Linked DNA regions of Arabidopsis thaliana. The protein of the gene in region 2 interacts with the protein of the main gene of each other region in a biochemical or structural test. Each region holds a gene or a part of one and is shown on either strand. Other genes may lie near its edges. The genes, in order: ZWI and KIPK.

Region 1 (13,081 bases), on a different chromosome or scaffold from region 2:
AAGTTTATTTCCTAGATTGGCACGAAAAAGAAAAAAGAAAAAGTGTAAATAAAGAAGTATGGGGTCCACTACATGCAAAAGATCCAGCTAGACGTTTGACCATATGACAGTGTGTGTTGCTTTGACTGTACGCCTCGATCGTGTCTCGGTTGTCTTTGACTGCTCTGTCACCACTTATATCCTTCCACGTCTCTCTTTTCGTTCCTAATCTTCGGTATTAATGAATGTTGTTAACTTTTATTAATACTACAAATTTAACTAAATGAAGATAAATTTTAATAAGCGAAAATTGATGGGAGTGTCAGCAGAGAGATCTGAGACCCATGTGTTGTTTTTGTTGGAGTTGAGTACTCTGCCAGAAATGCAGAATTTTGATATTCCAACCAAGTTTTCAAATATCACACGGATTCAATCTTAATTATGTGTTATTAACAAAAGTATGATTCACTCAACTAGTTTTAGTTCTACAATTAATTGCTAGTTTATTTTTGAATTCTTAGTATTTTTAATTTATAGAGTATGTTATCAATGGCTATTGATAGGCAATGAATTCATTGCCAATGAATGATCTCAATGTTGTCGATGTTATGAGTTTCCCGGTCAAACTAGTAAACTTAAAGCGGACCGGCAAGAGTTTTAAGTCGATGTGACGTGTTTGTAATAACGACTAAAACCATGTGAATTTTCATATTGATTGTGACGATAATACAATTAGTATTTTTAACTAATAAATGGCTGTTTGTATGTGCTAGAGAAGGGACCTAGTGACCATGACTACAGGCTGGTTAGGGTTGTTCTAAATATTGTTTGATGAACAGAACACATATCAGGACATTTATATAATTGTTGTGCCTAGAGTTGCCCTGCATAATTTTCAATTTGCTAAATTTGTTTGATTATTTAACTTAGAAATGAGTTATTGAGATTGTCGTATTTGAATAATTACATCACATTGCGCTTTGTATTTTGTTTCTAAGCTACATAGACTGTCACGTGAGTCCTAAACTCGTAGATTATTTAACATGTTGTTTCGCTATTTTTAGGTTAGTGATACAAATTATGATTAATTTTTCAGCAGATCATAATTTAACTTGATGAATTGATTTATTTTTCGGGATATATTCGTTTGCGAATTCATATAGTATCATCATGATAATTGGATAACATAGAACTCGATTCACGATATTATTGGGTCTAAAACTGAAAATTTTACCATGCCTACGATTATCAGAAAATATAATAATGTTTGTGTTGTTGGGCTGTGAGGGCTTCGAAATGGTACATCAAAATGCTGTACACGGCCTTCGTGAATGATAGGATTTAAGAAGCCCAATAAGCTATGCAAAAATATAAAGATGCAAAATCGAGAATTTTTATTGTCGTTGTTAAAGATGCAAATCAAAAATTTAATATATCTCGTCCTAGACATACAGGTTACAAATTGACTTTCGAAAACTTTATTATGTGGGGCAAGTTATAATTGGAAATTATAAAAGTGCAGATAGATATGTCAGCGATGAATTTATTGCTTTCATTTCAAGTTGCCAACAACATATTGAATCCATTGTCAAATATCTCTATAGAAACAAATCAAGTTGAAGCAAAATCTTTCTTATTTGACAAATTGGTTTTAAATTTTGATAGTGAAACTGGTAAATCAAGTCAACTGTAACCACCAATTTCTTATATACTCTCTTTTCCTTCCAATGAATCTCTCACTCCCCCTAAATCATTATTTCAGTATTTTTAATGCAAGAAATTTGGTGCCATATCTCAATCCATATTAATTATAATAATAATTTCGACTTTGATATTTTTGTTGTTGTACGCTTTGATAACGTGTTTAAAGACATATAGACGTGTACTTTGGCAATTGTTATTTGACTATTGAGCTTGTAAGCAAGTTTAAGCTTCAATGGATAAATACTTCAAGAAATTTCTAAAAAATTAATACTAATTAAAACTGCCGGCCCTTAAGATTACAACTTCAACCTTATTTTGACTTAACCAAAGTAAATTAAACTATAGATTAATATTTTGTGAATTTTTAATAAGATAAGTATCACCAAACCGTAAACATCCAACTAGATACATTTATATATACATACCCTAATAATTATTATTTCTGAAATGCATTTAAAACGAAGTCTATCATACACGGCATCTTCCTGTTCTAGTCGCATCTCCTCTCTCTCTCACTCTCTCTGTAATCTCTTATATCAACTTTTTTTTATTCCACTTTAAATCATGAAAGCTAAAGAAATGAAGAAAGAAAGCAATTTAGCAAGGTTGGTGAAATCTCCGGTTCGTTTCTTGATCATGGCACGTGACGCTTACATACGTAGCATGACGTCATGCTCCGCCGGTTTCATCCGCGGTGGTGGTGGCTCCGGCGCTTTTGGCTTACCACCCGGTAATTTCCAAATCTGCGAAGCACCAACCACCGTTCTCCCTCGTAGCTTCACCCTAAATTCGGCCACGACAACACGTGAACGTTGCCGGTTTGTCACACGTGGCGCCAGCAGCGGAGAAATCACGGTGGAGACGACGGCTATGAAACGACAGATGGATCTCCGGAGAAATTATAGTTGTATGGTTATGGGAAGGATTGATGAAGAGAAGGTTTGTGATCAGTTTGAAGAAGAGGATTATAGCAAAAAAAGAAAAATCGGTGGAGTTTTCACTACTCATCAACAATAAAAGAAAGAAAATGAAGATGACCATACTCATTTTCGTTTCTTTCTTCTTCCATTTCTGGTTAGATACAAAAACGCTAAACAGCTGAAAGAAATTCATTTTGTGTGCATTGTTCAAGTGTGCTTATAGACTTTCTTGCTTGTATATAAATTTCAGTACGGAATACACAGTCTAGATTGCAGACATAGTGAAAGTAGTCCTTCATTGTGTCAATTTCGACATTTTTGAGTTACGTTTTCAACGAACACTGAATTAGTATTAATGCGAGACAGATGAGAAATCATGGAATGAAAAAAAGTTTTATTCAAAAAAAAAAAGGTCAAACAAAAAGAGATTTTTTTTTTTTTTCCTTCTTCTAGGCATTAGAGTAGTCCTTCAACTTTACATCACCCAATGTCAACGTATGGATTACATTTGTCTTGCGTGTAAATCCTTAAATTTTACTGGTGAATTTTTGTTATTTCTCCAATCCACAAAATGGAATTTATAGTCTAGTTTTCCCTTAAATTAAAAGTTTGAATTTTTAGTCTCCGTATACCATAACTTTTGACATTATGGGGTTATCTTTATATGTTTGTATGGTTCTCACCAGCTTCATATAATATCTACGAATTTTTTTTTTTTTTTTTCATTTCTTGTAATGAAGATCTCATCAAAAGAGAGAAAGTTTGAGACATATAGGACTACTCTTCGATAGAAACTCTACTATAAAGCAGGAACTTCCTACAAAAAGAATGGTGAAAACCAGTGATACTATAGTCTCAATTTCACCTAGACGAATTTCATGTCAGCTTTCTTCAACTATCTGCCTCATCTTTTCGTGTACGATCTTCCTCAATATCCACCAAGTCTTCTTCCTCACCTTTTTTACCGGCTTGCTCTTTCCAGTATGCTACCAACTTCTTCAATCGCACCATCTCTTTGGATGATATATGTTTGCTGGGATCATTCACGATCGTTCTCACTCTCGATGCATATCTGGAATCAAAGGAGGAAAAAAAACAATATGGATTATCCATTTTTACACTAAGCATATTTGATTTATGTTATATATATATGGGAACTCATGACTTACAGAAGAGAATTGTACGTCTCGTCCAAATTTGATTCGGCTGGAGACACATTAACAAACATTAACGTCTTGGCATTGCCGCCCAATGAATCGCTCATCAACATCGTTAGCTTGTGATTCCTATAAGGAATATGCTGGTTGCCAGAAGATAAAGCACCAATAACATCACCTAATGCAGAAAGTGATTTGTTGATACTTTGAGCTTCTTTGAGTTGACAACCAGCTGAGCCCGACTTTTTAACTCTCTCAGAACCAGCAAGATCCACAAAACTCAGCTGCAAATAACAAACAAAAATTCAGAATATTGTAGAAGATACCACCATGATCAGGTGATATGGGTTTAACAATGGAGGGCATATCATTGACTAATAATATGGATTGTGTACATAAAGGTTTAACATTTTGTACCAGACCAAAGATTTGAGCTGTAAAATAATATCTCTCTTAAACAAGATTAATGTTACTATATTTTTCTTCGGTAGACTAAGCATGAAAATCTAAAGAAACTCCTATTTCCTTAAAATCCCTAAATGCTACTAAATCCTGTGAAAAATGATAATGAGTCAATAAAGAAAAACATAGTGAATTTTGTCACCTTGCCCCTCGCAGCAGACTGGGTTTGAAGATCAATACTTTCAATAACAACTGATAATATGAGGTGAGATCTTGAGCTTTCTTCATTCATATTTGTTCCAGAAACATGTCGTCGTTCCGATCCCCGTTCAAGAATCATTCGCAGTTCCTCCAAAGTTGATATAGGAATAGTTGTCACATTCTCTACAAAGACCATTCCCTGAGAAAATATTTTATGCATAAGATCAAACTTACGTGTCTACAATCTAGTTATAACCTAGTTAAAATAGATATATCTCACAATACCTTTGAATCTTTTTTAATCTCTAGTTTCAAGCGTCTTGCACTTTTTGGTAACAAAAGGTCTACAAGTGTGTCTTGATAAAGTTCCACCATATATGCCTGCATAACTTTTTGTAGTCAGTTGATGTCATAATCTTTTATCACATCATCTATTAGGATAACAAATTACCTTTAGAGAAAATGAAAATCTCTTGCTATCTCGCTTTAATATGTTGAACAGTTCCTTTGTAGCTCGAGGTGTGAGTCCAGGATTGCTCTCATGCCCATATATAGTGAAAGTTTTTCCAGAACCAGTTTGACCATATGCAAAGATGCAAACGTTATACCCATCTACAGCCGACTGTACCAAATACTGTTAAAAGGAAAACGATGTTAGTAACCACAAGAAAATAACAAAGGATGAAAGGTAAATGAACACAGTTACATATCAATAATACCTTTGTGTCTTCAAAGATATCATCTTGACTAGCACGCATGTCAAATACGCGATCATATATGTGTTGCTTTCTTTTGTCGTCTTTCCATGGATGTTCAACAGTAAACTCATCCACAGTTGTCAGCATTTGTTTTTCCCTCTCTGAACTCTCTTTTTCATTTAGAGGTCTTATTCGACAATAAACTCTAATCTTCCCTTTCATATCTACAATCAAATAAAAATGTTAGTAAAATTCTTTTTTAAAAGCAATGAACATCATTGTACATACTTGAGCATTATGTTACCTTCTATGGTATTATAGTATCTTTTCCTTAAAACTTGTTCTTCCTTATAAAGTATTTCTAGCTCAGCAAGTTGGGCTCCTTGCATTTTCAAAATGGCAGCTGTTTGCTCATTTTTTCTGTCAATGTCCTAAGAAAATGAAATTGGAATGTAAACACATCCCTCTACTTCAATTTTGAATCGCGAAAATACATTATCATCATTCAAACAGAAACAAAATTAAATAATGAAGAAGACAAAAGAGTACCATTACCTCTTTCATTTCTCTTAACTCCTCAAGTTCTTTCAAGTTATTTTGCAACAGCAGCATGTCAGAATTCTTACTTTCAATCGTAGACTCAGCACTATCCAAGTCTTGAGCAAGTACTTCAAGCTTATTTTCAAGTTCAGAAACTCGAAGCTTTAACACCTTTTTTTCTTGTTCATATCTCTTTTGATGAATTTCAACCTGAAATAATGAGATGTCAACAATACGCAAGTATTTGATACTTCTCAATTTGAAATCTTCAATAAATCTAATACATAGAATTCACCTCCTCTTTTTTCTTCTTTTCAATATTGAGATTTTGCTCCAATATCTTGTTTTCACTCAACAACCTCTTTGAATTATCAACTGCGACATGCAATTCCTTATTTCGAACTTCTAACTCCTTTTGGATCTTGTATAATATCTGTGACTTAAAATTCATTGTCAAAGGAAAGCAGAATTGGAAACAAAAAACAACAACTCAATGATTACAATGAATTAGATTTAAACACATAATATTCACCTGATTATTCATTTCGGCTAATTCTGATTTTGTCTCTTTACTTGATTTTGTGTTGCCCGACTTTGCCAACCTTGCTTCCATTCCTCGCAGTTCAGACATCAAGGACTATAGCATATATAGAATAAATCATTAAATAACTTCAACCAAGCATCAAAAGAAAGACAAAAGTTAGGTTATAACTAACTTGAATAGTTGTTCCCTTCTCGTCACACAATGACCTAAGTTTATCTCGGTCTAAAGTAACCTCCAACAATTTTCTCCTTTCAAGCTCCAAACCATTGTGTATAGCTTCTAACTCTTCACGCAGAGTAACTTCTTGCTGATTTTTCTCTTGTTGTTCATCCATCAACTATACAACAACATAAAACATACGAATAGTTCATCAGCATGCCACTCTAAAACAAAAGAGGTCATGGTATAACATTCTACATACAATAACATAAGATAGGAGGGTGATATATACTGAAATATCTCAAGACTACCAAGCATAAAAACCATGAAAAAATCCAACTACAATAAGTTATTTCATGTATTTAAACAAAGATCAGCCTCCCTCTATTATATTCAATTTTACATTGAAGAATAAATAAGAAATTTGTTAGAATGTGTACCTTCTCAATCTTCTTTTGGGACTCTTCATAAGCCTTAGACAAATCTTGCAAACGTTTTTCATACACTTCAAAATTTTGCGGCTTAGAACTACAAGATATATCTCCATTAACCAAGCTATTGGCAGCAGATCGAGCTTTGGAGTAACGACGCAACATGACATCATTTATATGTGTTTGCAAAGCAACACAAATTTCTTCTCCCTACAAACATACAAGTTACCCAAATTGAATATCTCATAAGGAATTGCTTCATAATATAATGATCCACAAATAGTGATGTTTAAACCTGTTTTGTCTCGAACTGAAATATGTGAAGAACACCAGCGACTCTCATTTTGAAAAAGACAGCAGTGTTACTGCTGCCAAATTGCATGATGTCACGTAGTTCAGCAGAGTGCAGATATTCTTTAGGAACCGGTCGAAAAAAGTGAACCTACAAGAAAGCAAACAACAAATTCAAATCCAACAACATAGATTTGAATTCCAAACAACAATAACAGTTTTTTTAAAGTCATAATGTATAACATTTATATTGAGACTAACCCCACGTTTGTTGATACCCAAAATGATTCGCCCAGGTAAAAGACCGATCGGATCATCTATCTTGCGTACGCTAAAAAAAACTGAATTCCCGTATGGCAGTGCCTTCAGTATCCGTAGAAATTGTTGTCTTGCATCATCTTTGGTCACGTTCTCCTACATGCCCACATACACATACGAAATATCATTTTACCATGCCATCACTTCAATGGGTTTTTATTTGCCAAAGGTATCTAGAAAGGGGAAGACAATCAAAATGCATAGAACTATTCCTACCATTGAACGGTAGCGAGCAAGGATATCCAATTCCCATTCACGCTTTGCTCGGGTTATTGCTATTTGTCTTGGCAAAAACCGCTCAAGAAGTGATGTCCAATCACTGATATGTGATACATTGAGAAAGGAAATGATATTGTTAAGGGAGGAAAATTGGAAAAATAAAGTATCGGACAACTAAAATAAAGTCAATGGCGGAGCTTAAGAAAACTAACATGCATGACTCTGGACTATTGACAAACCCAATCCCAACAAGAATTTGCAAGGCACAAAGCTGTGCAGCATCGTCCCTCCCAACAGGATAGTTTCCTAGCAAATAGTCATGTTGCAGCTGCATATATGTGTGTCAGCAACGAAAGGCAAGCCTTTTGTGTGGAAATAAATGTCACCAATGAAGAAAATGCTCACTTGAACATACGAAAGTTGCACAAACATCAGATCTGTTACAGCTTCATCAGACTCTCGGAATAATTTTTTTTTAAATACCAGTTTGCAGTGTAGTATCTCTCCTTTATTTCGATCTTTAATAGCTTTAAATTCTGCGAGGAGATCTCCAATATACTTGTTATCATCCAATCCTATATATTCCTCTGCAAGTGCACAGATAGAAAAATGATCGATAATGTTGTATTACTTCACAATATATGACGAAGCCAGTCATATGAAAGCATACCATTTCCGGGATCAGATGATTTAGAACTTGAAACAACTTTACGACATTCAAACAAACTAAAGCTAGAGAAAGCTGATAGTTTAATTGTTCCAGCTAGCTCCTGAAACAGATGTCAATGCAGTGAGAGAAAAAGGGACAAGAATATGATCAGCGGTAAATTATGAAAAAAGAAAGCAAGAAGATACCTCAACAGCATCAGACACTGTGGTAGCCATGTCATATGAAATTTCTTCAAAAGTTTCATCGAGAAAGAAGACAATGGTTGTGAGCTTTCTACCGGTCAAAAGGGCTTCAATTTCTTCACGACCAGGTGTGGTGTGCCTAGGACCAGCTTTGATAGAGCGCTTTAAAGCTTTCAAAGTGTTAACAGCAAGAACCTGAGCATCCGGTTCAATAGTTGCATCGTGTGCGACATTATGAATATACTCAGATAGATATCCACCGATATCTTTGCTAGGAGGCATAGAGGAGGCACATAAGTACATCAATTCCCAAGCTTTGATCAAGTATTGCCTGTCAGGATTATGTCTAGTCTGTTTGGAGATTTGGGCAAAAAGTTCGTCCCTGAGTTCAACACGCTTCAAAGTTTTTTTGAAGAGCTTTCCAACGAGGTCAATGCGTTCATCTAAACTGGGAGGCGTAGATCGATCAGATGAATCAACACCCATATATTTTAAGATGAGATGAAACAACTTGGTAGCACGGCTGACGAGATCGCTGTTAATCTTGAGGAGAGATGTGGGGATTGGATCCTGAAGGAAGGAAGGGGAGAGAGACATATTCAGTCAATGGATTGTCAATGGGGAAGAAAGGGGGGGAAAGAAAAACCTTTTGAAAGCAAAGCATATCCTCAAATGTGAAGCGCTCGCGGACATTGGAGCCAGAGGACTTTTTGGAATAGAAGAAGCCACGCTTCCCAGCAGACTGGATTTGTTTCTGCATTAGCCGCAGAAAAGCTTCAACCTGGAAGCGATCGATGAGGGGAATGGCGGCGGCAAGCTCCGCAGGAATTGACAATGCCACTTGAGGAGCTGGGGAGCTGTGACAGAGCGAGAGACTAAGAATGTTTTCAAATTTTCAAAGAAGAAGGATCAACAGAGACAGCAGCAAGAGAGTGAATGTTTTTAAAAATTCAAAGAAGACTTACAGAGGAGGAAGAGAAGACGACTCGGCATCGAAATCGGTTCCAGAGGGATTGGGAACATAGAAGCAAGAAGAAACGTCGGTGGCGACTTCGGTGCCATTGCCAGAGCTCAACGAAGAATTACTGCCTCGTTGGCCCTCCATACCCGAAGAAAAAGAGAGATTGTAGTAGATCTGATGAACAAATTTGCCCCAGAAATTTGGGCAGAGGGAGAGAGAGAGATGGGGAGACGAGAGTCACGGGAGATTTTTAATTGCCTCTTCTCATTCAATACTTCACGATTCACCTGATTTTCTAATTATTTTTCGTTTTCAGAAGATGAGACCAAGGAGGAATCTCAATCAAATAAATGAACAATGACTATAGACGTGCTTCCACGTCCGTTTGCCATGGTTGTGCCTCCAACACCATTAACAAATCTTAACACAATTCTGCTCTGCTGCTTTGGTGTCAATTCTCAAATACAATAATGATTTATGTAATGTATGCAAGTCCTATTCAACACAAGTGTTGTTACATTTATTTTCTTTTTTCTTTCCCACAGACGTAAACAATAGTGCTCCATCACCTTCTCCACTTCACAGCTTTGCGATCCCTAAAGCAGGCAAGTTATTCCTTGGCGGAAGCTTTAGATCATCCTCCCGTTCCACTCTCTCGAAGTACTGCTCCACCATGCTATCCTTCATGTCCTCCAGTCGCCTTGGCTCCCACTATAATTTCAGATATTGTTATCAACAATGTCACATATTACCAACCACAAATAACAAATGGAGAGACTTGTTAAACCTTTGGGTTCTTATCTTTGTCTACCAATATGGCTCTGCACCCCTGCATAAGTAAAGACACGCTGTTGTAACTACGGTCTACAACAAAGACGGTTTCAGATGGAAAAAGCTTGCAAAACCTCCACAAAATCTTTGCTGATTTCTCCCTTCATCACATGACACACCATTCTATACTCGCGGATAAGACACTGCCCCACCCCCTGCAATCGCCCTTCCCTTATCTGAAATATATACTCACAGTCAGCTCTTTGTCAACATTGCCTGTGATGCACATTCTGGGAACTAACCGATCTAAGAGAGATTTTAAGGCTTGCTGGTGAACCCTTCTTCAATGCTTGAATGGTAGCTGAGATCCAACCATCTGCTTCTTGAGTGGCCTCTCTCTCCTAAGCAACACATATGATGGTAGAGTGCGTTGTCAAAGGTAAATCAGTCAACTCAGGATCGCAAGTCAACATCTCTATATATAAATGAAAAGCTTACAAGTGCAGATATAATTTCTTCGACTGTTCTCCTTGAGAAACACCTATCAATAACATCTAACCTGCGCAACAAACGGGGAGATAAAAAATAACTGTCCTCTGCACTTTTATAAATTTTCAATTAAAGATCAGATGAGAAATGAGTTCTGTAAAGAGCGATTGAAAACCTGACAGCAATACGAAATTGAAATTATAGAAAAAATGTGTTATAATCATGGTCAATAACCGAGAAAATGTAATCAGGTAAAACCATACTAGTAGAAAGAGTAAAAGAGATAAAAATCATATAGACTTGCCTGCGGTAAGCACTCTGCTGTTTCAGGCGCGGATGCTGGGTGTATGCATCGAGAATTGTTGAGGCAAAAGTTGGATCATTTGAATTAATTCTGCAAAGATCTGCTTCTAATGCAGTCAACCTCTGTGGAAAGGAGTAAACCTAACTAAGTAGCAATCCTTGGTGAAGCAGATAGTGCTTGACACTAGTAGCTATACAATATCTGATGTGTAAAGTCAATTCAGAATGTCTTACGAAATAGACGCACGCAAAGGAAGTTCATACCGTTGAAGGCACAAAATGAGTTGCAAGGCCACAAGCAAGCATTTCAGCACCATCTAATCTAGCTCCTGTGAGGCCAACATACTCCCCTGAACAAAAAAGACAAGAAAGCATTTTCAAACTTTGGTGGCTTTAAGAAGATGCAAAAAAAGGAAATATAGCTTCTGTTACCAAAAAAACCAGGGAGCCTTGACAAGAAGTAGGAGGCGCCTACATCTGGAAAGAGCCCCAGAGCTGTCTCAGGCATGGCAAAAACCTTGGAGAAAGTCGAAAGATATGAGCATATTTTGGAGCGACCTATTTGTCATCCATGGACATGTTTAAGGAAAGATTACCGTGTTCTCAGTTGCAATACGAAATCGACCATGGACGGATACACCAGCTCCGCCTCCCATGACGATACCATTCAAGATTGAAACCTATACGAATTGATGAGTTTATCCACTCGGGAGTGATTTTACAAAAACAAAACGAAATTATAGCGAGACCTGAGCTTTGCTATATGTGGCCATAACATAGTTGAGCATGTATTCAGATGAGAAGTAATTGGCACCGAGTCTCCAGTTACCTAGTCAACGAACGAAGATAGAGAAAGAGTGTATAAAAGCTGAAAGTAAGAAACAGAAAAGAATGGGTGGTAAACCTTGATTGATGTCACGAACAACAGCTGCAACATCGCCACCAGCACAAAAGGCTCTCCCATGACCCTGTGGCAAAGTTATTCAGTACTAAATGTGTGTAAGCGGAAGAGATAAGGATAATGATTACCTTTAGGATGACAAGTTTCACACTAGGGTCCTCCTCAAATGCAAGGAACAGTTGCAGCAATCGAGAGATCTACAGAAAAAAATGAGTCTAAGCCAATACAGTACGCATGTACAAGAAGGGAAATATTCGATACCATGTGGAAGGACAGAGCATTCAGCTGCTTTGGTCTGTTTAGTGTCAAGATTCTAACACTCGATTTCTCTTCCACCAAAACCTGTGATCATATTATTAATTCAGAGAGCGAAGAATTGATCGTCGTAGATTCGGATTAAAGACGCAAGAAAGAGACCTGAGACTGAGAGGCCATCTCGACTGCCATCTTTCTTACTGGTCAGATTCGCCTTTGTATCTCCGGAGAGAGGAGCAGCAATGGGATCAGAAATTACCACTAATGGCTAACAAAATCTTCACCCGCTTAGTTTAGGAAGTTGATATTGGGCCTTATAGTAATCTGTTGGTTTTAATAATGGGCTTTATTTTGTTAATAGAGCAAATGGAACTTTGCTTTTCAAACTCAATTTCAAAGCCCTCTTGCAACATGCTTGATGAATGAGAAGATTATATGTTTTTATCGAGTACGTTAGACATGTGTTTTTTTTGTTAGGAAGCTAGTTTTCCAACTAACCAACACCTCCCTCTAGCATAAAATGACACGTGGGCACCAGATCAATCATTAAAAAAGTCTTCAAAAATTCTCAACAACCACTTCTAAAAGTCAGACATGAAAGCCCTCGCCTCTCGATATATAGATAATTTGCATATACATGAAAACTCAACAATCTGACGCATATGCAACAGAGTTGAAAGATGGAAAGAGCAAGGATACGATGGCCGAGTGGAAGAGGAATTAGGCTGAGGCAGAAGACAAAGAGACTGCGTGCGAGAGTGAGAAGCTTTTTCAGGCTTCTCAGGAGCTGGTGCTGCAGAAGGCCTCCGCTGGTCAGAGAAGACGGTCTTGATTACACATCTATACGTCGCTCTAACTCTTTCTACGCCGATGCAATTGCAGACTGCATTGACTTCATCAACCGCTCCTCCGCTTGACAGCTTCTCATTCTCTTCCAATAATTCTTTCTTCCATTTTGTAAAATCCAATGTTTCTGTATATGCAAC
Region 2 (11,738 bases):
AACTAGAACTGAATCGGAAGTTTTTAAGATGCTCTGTGCAGAGGAAACCAGATTACATCCATGTTTTACGTCGAAAAAACAATCAATCAACATACGATTGTTTGATTCAAAATCAAGTTTCGATTGTAAATTCATCTCAACGATACTAGAAACTAGAAGCAGAGCCGCCGATCTGACGTTTAAATCTATGAATCACAATCTATAATCATCGTAATCGCTATCTGATTAACAATAACAAACTCCAAGCCAAAAAAACTACGAGAATTGTGGCATTTCGCAACACAAATCGAATCAAGCTCTTCGAAAATCGAAAGCAATGGCTGAAAAAACTTAAGGAGGAAGGAAGATACTCACGGCAGAGACGCCGCCGCCGAGGATGATGTACTTAAAGCTCTTCTCCGCCATTTTATCCGATCGTGTGAAAGCGTTTTGTTATCTTGTCGCTGAAGTTGGTTTGTTAGAGAAGCAAAGAAAGAGCAAAAAGGCTAATATGAGCTGAGTGACTCTAATTGGCTAAAACTTAACCAAGACTTGGCCGTTGATTGGAGGATGTAGATACAAAGCTTACACGTGGCAATATTGTGACCGTTGAATTTATCCAACCGTCGTGGTTCATGCTATATGTGGAAAGTAAAAAGAATTAAGGACGGAAATAAAGGACTGATTGATTCTTAAGTCTTTTTTAATTAACCCGAAAAATAGTTGGTGGAAAAGTCACAAATGTGCCACGTTATTGGATAAGTTGTGGAAAAGTCCACAAATGATGGGTTTTAGATTATTGGGCTTCTTTTCCTGACCTCTTAAGGCCCAAAATAACAAAATTCAAGAAACATGAAGCTTAGTCCTTCGACCCACATGATAACCCATTTGACCATCACATGATTAACAATTCGACTAAAACAACCATAAATTTTGATTTATCAGCAATTATATTTGTAAATAGGTTTATTACTACAATCTGTACGTAATAAGTATCAATCTTTGAAGGAACTAAAATTTACACATTCCCATCCAAGACTATAGGCAGTCACAATAACCCATTTGGATGAATGCTCATTTTTATTTTTAATTGTTCAAATTTCAAAATACTGTGTATAGCTAAAAAATCGAATTAATAAGTGAAGGAGAAAAAATTGGTGGAGTGGATTAGATGCATACAATGACAAAAAAGCCAAGCAAGCCTTTTATGGGGGTGTGGCCTGTCGACACAAACATGTGAAACCTATACTTGTTGCCTTATTCTCTAGCTTGTTCTCTTTCTTTTTATTTTTTTCTTTTACCAAATCTAATTTGATTACCCTATATATCTCATCTTCCTCGGATTCTCATTTCTCAGATCTTAGTTCTTATTGATATTGTTTTGTTTAATAGTAGTTATCAAGAATATACATAACTCGAATCATTTGTCGTTGTGCACCGTTGTTTCTTGTTCGCCGTCCACGCAATAATTATAAACATCCATACCTAAATTTTATATATACACATCATGAAATATTGCGACAAAGACATTTAATCTAGTGGCTCATAGTATTAGTGCAGTCATTGCATCATAACTTGGTATAAATGTTTGAGATACAAAAATAAGTATATATATATATATATAATAGAGTTTAATCCGCGGTACACCGCGAAAATAATTTATTTTTTAAATTAATATATATAAAAGTATGGGTACTTTTTGTATTTTGTACACTATTAATGAAAATTCACATTTTAAAAAATAAAATTGAATGATGGTTCAAATTGATCTTAAACGAAAAAATCTGGGTTCCATCAATCGTTTTTCTTGAAAAGATGCAAAATATTTTTAAAAATCGAATAAAATAATTAGCAGGACCATTGATATATTTAAATATGCGCATGCATATGTTTGTATAATAAAATCTTTTGATGTTGATGGTTGGTTTAAGTTAAATAAGAAATCAGAAGCGGACGTAACACATCTAATTTTTGTGTTAGTTTAGTGTTTACAATATATTTAATGGGGATTAAAAGCATGAGGGAAGAGATTAAAGGCGCAGAAAGAGGAATCCTAGGCTCAAAGGGTTCTCAAAGACCTATCAAGTCTCTATTATTTCCTAACACCACGTTCCAACTGTATGATTTAGGCTTTTTTGCCAGATTCAAAAGTACTTTGTTGTTATTAATCTCGATCATGTATCATTAAGTTATGTTTCTTGATCTTATGGTTACGGTTGTATATTATTTGATTTTTCCTATGCATTTTCCATTAGACTCTATTTGATTTTTCCTATGCATCTTCTATTAGATTCTAGTTCATTCTTTCTTATTTTTTTAATTCATTTGTCTTGGGTGGCTAATGAAGCAATAATGGTTTTTAGTTTTTATTTGAGATATTTGTAATTAATGATGCATATAATTTACTGTTTTACGTGGAAAAACGTATTCTAATTTCTTGTAAATTGCAATCGCATTGTATATTGTACCGAGGAAAAGGATCGATTTGCCTGCGTGTGTATAAGCTTTATCAACGAGATCCAAAGTAATCTATATATGACCCATTGACCTACCATCATACACAAAGTCAACACACCTAAAAATGATTATGATCATGTTAATCTATTACCGCTTCACATACAATTGATAAAACCAAACTAAAACTAAAACTAAATATAAATACTATAAACTAGTTAAGTAACCCACGAAAAAGTCTCGGCTTGGCTATAAAAATGCAGTCACCTTCCACTTTTTATTATCTTTCTGATAGTCATTCTATCAGAAATATTTTATACATTAGACTGATTTGTAGTATTTTCGTCTGCTTAAATTTGAACATATCGTTCGTTAATCATTAATGTTTCCTAAGTTAGTAACAGGCCTAATTCTTAATTGTATGTTCAATACTTTTATCTTATGATCTGATGTCTGAACTTTGAGGTAAAATGGTACTAGTATAGTTCCATAGTTATGAATTTGAAAGACTGATTAAAAATATATATTCAAAATACATATCAATCTACAGTGTTCTTTTTTTGTTTGCTAAATTATATGAATCTACAAAATAAAAACGTTATTTCTTCGAAAGAAGTGTTGTCGAAAAAACATTTTGAAAAGAACTGCGCATTGGCTACCTGTCTTATTCTGACAATATTGCTCCACCGTTATATTTTAAAAGCATTCACATCTATTTTTATCTTCTCACCAATCTTACCTACTACCATGTGTTCGCAGTAAATTAAGACATACGACGATCGAAATACTGTAATTATTTATTTTTATTGATTACACTAAACTAATCTTTTCATCAAGATAATCTTTCTTATGGGATTTCTGATTGTAAAGGGGTTTTTCCTCAATTTTTCCCTATTATTTTTTCAATTTAGTTTTGCCCAAAAAAAAAAAAAGAAACTATTTAATAAAGTTCTATAATATATTATTGATATAATCCGATTGAGTTAGCTCGATTAGAAGAATCATAGATGGCTAGATAAAGACATCTAGTCGACCTCTACTACTCTAGTGATCTAAGATTCAACTGGAGAGCAGTGTTATGACTTTGAAAAAAAAAAAAAAAAAAATCAGCATGATATACAACTTTTATAGATTAGTCACTATTCGATGAATGATGGGAAATTTCTTTGGCAATTTGACTTTGGTCAAATATGTCATGATATTGGTGGAAGTAAATTATTGATCATCAACATTTCCGGGAGGTGAAATCAGTTTTGACATGACAGTATATAATATTAAAATACTTGTTTCTATGAATAAAAACAGCATAAATCCAAATAAAGCTCGAATTATTTAAATAAAAGAACAATAACAATTCAGATAAATTTATGAACAATAATAAAAGAGTTTTGAAATGGAATTAAATATCTTCTGAAGTGAAATATGTAATAAAAATACAGTAGTAATTTTTATTTGTTTTGAGGCATAATAAAATGAGGAAAAAACCCGCAAACATATGCTGTGGGACCCACCATGTTTTTTTTTTCAACTTGATCATCTCTTAACTCTCTCTCATTCACCAGAAAACAAAAATTACACAAAAATCAAAACTTTTACTTTTTATTTCTCCTCTCTGGATCTTCCTCTTCAAAGCTCAAGGCCATTAGGGTTTATCTGAGCTCCAAAATCACCCTAATTCTAGTGTATTTCTCAGCAAGCAAGCTTCTTCTTTTTTTGTCCTGGGTAAGCCTTTGTTCCTTCAATTTATCGCCAGCTTCTTCTTTATCTCTTACCTTTTCTTCTTTGCACGCCTCCATTAGCACTTTATTTATTTTTCTTCTGTAACCCTCTCTTTGATTTGCTTTAATTCATGAGATTTGGGGACCGTATTCAGGGTTTTTTTTGGGTGGGTTTCTCTGATTTTTTTTTCCTTTTTCAGACCTTTCATTATCTCTATGTGGTCACTTAAGGTCTCTGCAGTTTCAATTCAAAAATTTAGTTTAAAAAAAAAAAAAATCTGGGTGTGTGTTCATTAGCTAGCTCCTCTTTGTTCACTCATTGGCTCTCTATGATTTGACATTTAAGATTATTGCTGCATTTAATTGTGCTAAATCGATTCTGCACTCATGCTTCAGCTACTGTTCTTTGTGTCCCTGTAAATTTAAGTTTTTGAGATCTGAAACTATAAGAAATTTTCCGATTTTGGTTCTCATTAGTTGTTAGATCTCTTATCTCACTCGAAGCTTCTTTTTTTACGCGGTTTGATTTATTAATTTCGTTACTTCTCTGTAAATTCTCGATCTTTAGGGTTCTTCTCATCCCCTGGTTTAATAATGGGTCCAATCTCAGTTCTTGTTCACTCTAATTTTACTTTCACAATATCTCCAATTACGCAGATGCTTTTTGACAAATTTTCTCCATTAAAAGTGTCTTCTTTTTTAGCTGTATTAAATTTATAGGTCTCTCTATCTGTACTGGTATAGGGTTCATGATTGAGTCTACAAAAACATAATGAATGACCTAAAAGCTATTAACTTTCGTTTCTAGATCTGCTTGCTTCTCTTTAATATCTTCACCTCATTGCTCTAATAGACATTAATCTCCATTTGAAGTTAGTATTCTTTTACCAGTTTTACTGATTTTTCTTTTTCATTCAGGTAACTGTGATTGTTGCAGGATCTTGTGTAGAAACAGATCACAAGAAGATGAATGATAACTCGGTGGTGCGGCTTTGATTATCTTCAGAGATTTTAGATTCTGTATCCACTCTGTTGCGATGGGGTCGTTTGCAGGCGCTTGTGAGATTGTGGAAGAGAAGGATGATGAAGTAAGATTGCCAAAACATTCCGGGAGATATGGTAAATCGGTTATGGGATCATCAAGTAAGGATTTGGTGGAGCGTAAGCAACGAGAGTATCATGGTTCTCTTGAGTATGACATTGATATGCTTTTTCAGTCTATTTCTGTTAAACCATCTACTACGAGGTTGATGAGTTCTTCTTTCCATCATCATGAGACGAGCGCGAGTGCCGGTCCAAGCAGGACCACAAGCCCTTCGAAGAGAATTGCGTCCATGAAAAAACCAGGGACACCTCAGTCTCCTAGATTTGTTGGTCTCTCTGATTCAGTTTCTTTGAAGCAGGCTCTTAGGGATCGTTGCATTTCTAAGGCGTCGGAAATGGCTGCTCAGAAACGGTTGTCGAAATCTGCTGCTGCATCTCCGAGGGTCTCAGAAGCTGACAGGATAAAGAGTTTGTATAACCAAGTTTCGAATGAATCTACTAGCAGCAGGTCTGGGCTTGTTCCTGTGGACAAGGGTAAAGGAAGTTTGGTTGAGATACCTTTGATGCCTGTAAACGATAAACCAAGCTCTTCAAAGAGCGTACCTCAACGGTTTGAAGATCCTTCTAACCCCATTTCTGAGCCATCTCAAGCTGGAACCAGTTTTGGATTACAAGGAGTGGGGAATCAAACGCGGGAGATTAAGCTGTTGCATAGATCCAACAAACCTGGGTCTTGTCTTAGTTCTGGCAGTGGAGATTATGAGATAGAGTTAGATGAAAATGTTGCGTCTCCTTCCACTCATGCATTTGTTGAAGATGATGTGATAGAAATAGACAAACACGTTACTTCACTGCCATCTCACTCTAGCAAGAAAGTCAATGCGACGGAGCTTGACAAGAATATTTCCTCATCTGCTGTAGACTCAGAGCAGAAAGGGAAGTTGGATGATGCACCTAATTCAGGGACAGAGAATGGCAAAACAGTACGGAAGGTAACAAGAATGATTCCACGTCCCAAACAACCGAAAAAGAAAATTTTGCTTAAGAAGAAGTTAAAAATCGGGGTTGTGTCAGCAACTTACCCAACAAAAGACGATGAAGAAATTGTTCCTTCCTTGGACTCTAGTGCCAATCAACTTCTCTGCCAGAGATGTCACTGTTCGTTGAAGAGCACCAGCATCGATGACAACCCACCTTCATATACTTCTAGTCATAATCCTAAGATTTGCACAGATAGTTTGAGCTCTGTTTCAAATAAAGAAGCTCATCAAGGATCTGACGAGAACTCCTCTGGCTCGTGTAATGTCAGTCAAAGCTCTGAAGCTGACATTGTCATAATGAAACAAGATGTTTCCTCTAGCAATAATAGTGGAATCGGTGCAATGGTAGAAAAAGAAACCGAGAATCCGACTTCCAGTGAGAAATTCGAGTTCTCTCTGAGTTCAAAAGATAGTCTTGGGGATTATAGCAGGAGCACAAGCATTAGTGAGGAGAGTAATCTGAGCCGATTTAGCTGTGGGAATAAGCCTCACATGTCGATGGATGTGAGATGGGAAGCGATTAAGCATATCAAGGTTCAATACGGCTCTTTGGGTTTACGACACTTCAACCTTCTGAAGAAACTTGGTTGTGGAGATATAGGAACAGTCTATCTCGCCGAGCTGATTGGTACAAACTGTTTGTTTGCCATAAAGGTTATGGACAACGAGTTCTTGGCGAGAAGGAAAAAGTCTCCCCGGGCACAAGCAGAAAGAGAAATACTTAAAATGTTGGACCATCCTTTTCTTCCTACATTATACGCGCAATTTACTTCGGATAATTTATCTTGTCTAGTCATGGAATATTGTCCTGGAGGAGATCTTCATGTCCTCAGACAGAAGCAGCTAGGCCGGTGTTTCCCTGAACCTGCAGCAAGGTAAAGATTTACCTTTTCCATTTCGTGTCTAGCTTATTTAATGTACTGAAAATTGATTGTAAAAATTTGTTTCTGTAGATTCTATGTGGCCGAAATTCTCCTTGCACTGGAGTACTTACACATGCTTGGTATCATATACCGAGATCTGAAACCGGAAAACATTCTTGTCCGTGAAGATGGACACATTATGCTTACGGATTTTGACCTCTCACTCCGTTGTGCAGTGAACCCGACTCTTGTCAGGTCAAACTCTCCACCTGGTAAAGATCCCGCAAGGATTTCAGGTCCATACAACACATCCAACTGCATACAACCATTCTGTATCACCGAACCATCTTGCCAGGTTTCGTGTTTCAGCCCTAGGCTCTCCTCAAACCAACAACAAGGTAGAAAACCAAAAAGGGGTGATCATCTTTCGAAAACCCAACAACACTTGAGTAGATCATTGCCTCAGCTCGTGGCTGAACCAACCGAAGCAAGATCCAATTCCTTTGTGGGAACACACGAGTACCTAGCCCCAGAGATCATCAAAGGAGAAGGACATGGCGCTGCAGTTGACTGGTGGACTTTCGGGGTTCTCCTTTACGAGCTTTTATACGGGAAAACACCATTCAAAGGTTACAACAACGACGAGACTTTGGCCAATGTTGTGTTACAGAACCTCAAGTTTCCTGATAGCCCGCTTGTAAGCTTCCAGGCAAAAGACTTGATCAGGGGACTTCTTGTTAAGGAACCAGAGAACAGGCTCGGGTCAGAGAAAGGTTCTGTAGAGATCAAAAGACATCCTTTTTTTGAAGGATTGAATTGGGCTCTGATCCGGTGTGCAATCCCGCCTGAGCTACCGGATTTCTATGAGTATGGTGGTGGACCAGAGGCAGCGGCGGATTCGCCTGGAGGCAGTAATAATAGGTATCTTGAATGTAAAGCCATAGGCGATCATCTTGAGTTCGAGTTGTTTTAAGCAAGACATAGATATTCTCTGGTATAAGCATTCAGAGTAATCGTTGTTGTAAGTTATTATATCTAAGTTAAATCTAAATGTCTTATATGTAAATTTAGCGTTCTCTGAGACATAATCTGATATAGTATTCTCAAAAATATATATGCTCCTTCGTATCTCAATTTTTAAATATATGATCAAACATTACAATCTTAGTAGACACTAATCTACAAAACCAAAAGATTACAAACACTTTTCTTCAATGAAAGACTTGAGTTGAGATTCCCATCTGATGAAGAACACTTGACGTCGAAGAAGCTGACCTCAAAGCCTCAGCTAATGGTCCACCCATATTGTGGTGGTTCCCTACATTGCTCCACCAATTCAATTGCTCCCTCTCATTGTTGTTGTTTCTCAGGTTCTCTTCTTCTTTTTCTTCTTCATTGCTTGTTGAAAGTTTTAGAGAAACATCTGAGGAAGCGTTACTATTACCGGGCACGGAGATTGAGATATGACAAGTGGATGAGCTCATTGGACTGGAGGTAGAGCCCAATGATGATTCGCCTAGCCCGCCTAAACCCGCCTAATGACCGTGTAATCCACTTAATGTCTGCATAGTCCGCCAAATCTTCCTCACCGCCTAATAGAATCGATTTTAAGAAAGTCGAAGCGGTACATGAACGCCTAGCACCTAGGGGATGCCTAGACGGCTGCGTAACCCGCTTTCTTGAATACCGCCTAGTTGTAATTGCACATTTTTGGGTGTATATCAATTTTTTTCCAGCAAAATTAGGCAGTTGCACCTATCACCTATGTCTCACCCTACTGGGCCGGGCCTGAATAATTTATGTTACAAAGATTGCAATTTGCAAACATTAAAAGAAGAAAAGCCCAAAAAGGACATCTTTGATCATCAGATTGGCTCCACTTTAATTACGAAATTGATTTCTTTATTTTTCCTTTTTTACTTTTCCTTTTGGCGGGACTGCTTGCTTTGATTTTGGAATGATGTAAAAGCAAAGCAATTATGTTTGGGAAGGTTTAAGCAAAAGCAAAAGACAAGTGAAAGTAAATAAATAGATATTGAGAGAGACATAGAGACTGTTGTAACAAGAAAAAAAAATGAGTAGCAAGAATAACTCCGGAGCTGCTGCAGTTTCTGGAGTCAACACCAACGGTAAGCTACCAATGGAGGACAATGAAGAAGAAGAGATATGGAAAGTTGCAGTGACGAGGTTTCAAGCCCGAGAAGAAGAGATCGAGAGGAAGAAGATGACTGTTAAGGAAAAAGTTCAACAGCGGCTCGGTTTTGCAGAGGAAGCTACAAGATGCTTAACTCAAACATTGGAAGTAAGTTTATAAAAAGCCTTTTGTGTAACATGGTAGACAACAAAGCTAATAATGTTCTTACTAAAACAGGAGCTAGAGATTATGGGAGATCCTATGAGAAAAGAAGTTGGTATGGTGAGGAAGAAAATCGACATGGCGAATCGAGATATCAAATCTTTGGCACAAAGCTGTCAGAAAAAGGTATTACACATTTTCATTTTCAGGAAAAGCTGGCAGCTTTGTTTTAACACAAGAGGATAATTTGACAGGAGAAGGAATACAAAGACACATTGGAAGCTTTCAATGAAAAGAACAAAGAGAAAGCTCACCTTGTTTCCATGTTAATGGAGGTATTTAGTCTAAACCACTTAAAAGCTTTGTAAAATTTCTACTGAAGATCCAATGTGTGATTTGTGACGATGATTTTCTTTTGGCAGCTACTGGCTGAAAGTGAAAGATTAAGGATAAAGAAACTGGAGGAAATCAACAAGACTGTTGGAACCTTGCAATGAGGAGAAGCAATCTACATGGATCTTACCTTAAAAGAGAGTGAAAATTTGTTTAAGTTTTTGGTATTACACTCTATCCAGGTCCTCCTATTAAAAGTGAGCTACGATGTAACAGGATGTACGATAAATGAATGGTGCTAAGGTTTAAAGATATGAATGCAGCGAAAAACGAATTTCTTAAAAGATGCAAGATGTCTTTGTACACATAGATAATGTCAAAACAAATCAAGCATCATTATATTCATATATCCGAAACTAGCGGCTTCCCTATTTTGTCATTACCCGTTTCCTTTTACTCTGCTGGCTCAGTGTTTACATACCTGTTCGCGTAATCTAAATACTCCTGCAAGTAACAAACAATCAAACATAAAAATTATCAAGAAGGAAATACAAGAACAGATTCCATTGGTCTTTAAATGAATATTAGTAACCTTACCTGAAGTATAACTACTGCGGCTAACTTGTCCAACATTGTCTTCTCTTGAACAGGATGCAAATTCAAGGGCTTCAACATCAGTTCAACGGTCTGTTGACAGTATTACATGAGATTCAAGGGATATTAAACTTAACACCTATCTTTACTGTGACTTACAAGATCTTTAAATCTGAAAAATATATACCTTTGATGATAATCGCTCGTCCCAATATGTGTATTTCACATCCTTGAGTTTTTCGGTCTTACGAAGTTCCTCAATGAAAAGATTCACAGTGACAACCTGTTCCAAGTTTAAAAATCCTTTTCGGTTATATGAGCTAATGTAGAGGAAAAGTACTTCACAATTCAGTCGAAACAAAAAAAAAAACTTACATCCTCTACATTGTTCAGTTTGCCAAATGGATAACCAACGACTAATCCCGACACAGAAAATGCTTTGACCTGCATAAGACAACAAAAGGCAAATGATTGATGTAATCAAACAGAGTTCATAAGTCTACTTGTTGATAGATCTCTACTACGTCAAGGACTTAACAGTAAACACTAACTGAATAAACCTTGATCCTTTAATCACCAGTAAGGCAGTAATCACAAAAAGCCGAGGGTGAAAGTAGACACTAATCTACTACACTAACAAACTTTCTTCTTCATTACCAAAACAAACGATAGTTTCTTCATTCCTTATCTTAGTAAACACTAATCTACACTAGCAACCTTTTTTCTTTGTTTTAAAAAACACTAAGAAATGATAGTTTCTCCATTTCTTAACAAGAACTAAAATCTGTGTATTTGTTTAAGGTCTCCTTTAAATCTAGAGCTAAAAAGTAAAGGAACGATCAAACTTATAGCACCTACCAGGTTCTGGAAATCTGTAGCCATCAGGTCAATGTTTGATTTCTTTCTGAGCAAAACACTGCAAGAGAAGTAACAGGTTTTCAATAGCGATGATGGTGACAAAATTGATCAGAGAGGATTTGCATTTTTGAAAATTACTGTTAAACAAATGTTGTAGCATGTAGACACTGAATCAAAGGTACCTCAATGGAGAAGCAACCATATTTGAAGGATCTGAGATAGCTAATCCAACATACTTATCACCAACATCTAAACCCAGAAACCGACCAGGGACTGACACTTTGGTCTTCAGCGCATTACCCAATAAGCTCAATGGCTTCACATACTTCATTTCCTGATCAAAAGTAAGTGAATCAAACTTCCAAAACACTTGTTCAAATCAAGACTAAAAATTCACATATCAATTGCATAAATTTGAGAATTATTGTACAAAAAAAACTTTAATCAGACCATCAAACAAACATTTCGAAAAAGGGTTTTAGAAATTAATCAGAAAGTTTAAATCTTGACGTACTTTAAAGGCGGAAACTTTCTGGCTCCGGAGCACGGAATCTGGCGA

What was found.
Region 1: the proteins of KIPK (region 2) and ZWI form a complex in vitro, tested with the Arabidopsis thaliana proteins (one study listed by BioGRID).

Annotation. Positions count from the first base shown.
Region 1 is NC_003076.8:26,366,875-26,379,955, forward strand, and holds ZWI (kinesin-like calmodulin-binding protein (ZWICHEL)), read right to left. Parts: upstream 9,574-13,081; 5' UTR 9,521-9,573; coding exon 9,381-9,520; intron 9,291-9,380; coding exon 9,062-9,290; intron 8,986-9,061; coding exon 8,419-8,985; intron 8,334-8,418; coding exon 8,234-8,333; intron 8,151-8,233; coding exon 7,969-8,150; intron 7,892-7,968; coding exon 7,776-7,891; intron 7,664-7,775; coding exon 7,561-7,663; intron 7,441-7,560; coding exon 7,288-7,440; intron 7,178-7,287; coding exon 7,031-7,177; intron 6,946-7,030; coding exon 6,745-6,945; intron 6,483-6,744; coding exon 6,318-6,482; intron 6,239-6,317; coding exon 6,134-6,238; intron 6,035-6,133; coding exon 5,897-6,034; intron 5,812-5,896; coding exon 5,617-5,811; intron 5,493-5,616; coding exon 5,366-5,492; intron 5,286-5,365; coding exon 5,083-5,285; intron 4,998-5,082; coding exon 4,815-4,997; intron 4,745-4,814; coding exon 4,649-4,744; intron 4,563-4,648; coding exon 4,365-4,562; intron 4,045-4,364; and 7 more. Other genes in the region: AT5G65925 (uncharacterized protein), read left to right, coding at 2,248-2,700; CHY1 (beta-hydroxyisobutyryl-CoA hydrolase 1), read right to left, coding at 9,956-10,087, 10,164-10,205, 10,282-10,383, 10,450-10,548, 10,646-10,706, 10,941-11,062, 11,204-11,289, 11,372-11,456 and 6 more. UniProt on the Arabidopsis thaliana protein: Minus-end microtubule-dependent motor protein involved in the regulation of cell division and trichome morphogenesis through microtubules bundling. Possesses basal and microtubule-stimulated ATPase activities.
Region 2 is NC_003074.8:19,603,962-19,615,699, forward strand, and holds KIPK (KCBP-interacting protein kinase), read left to right. Parts: upstream 1-3,935; 5' UTR 3,936-4,155; exon of another isoform or gene 4,156-5,069; 5' UTR 5,070-5,188; coding exon 5,189-7,110; intron 7,111-7,188; coding exon 7,189-8,071; 3' UTR 8,072-8,256; downstream 8,257-11,738. Other genes in the region: MDAR1 (monodehydroascorbate reductase 1), read right to left, coding at 1-33, 355-405; AT3G52900 (RAB6-interacting golgin (DUF662)), read left to right, coding at 9,173-9,400, 9,470-9,580, 9,649-9,729, 9,817-9,891; AT3G52905 (Polynucleotidyl transferase, ribonuclease H-like superfamily protein), read right to left, coding at 10,181-10,231, 10,325-10,414, 10,509-10,604, 10,697-10,765, 11,180-11,237, 11,362-11,510. UniProt on the Arabidopsis thaliana protein: Could be involved in the negative regulation of root growth.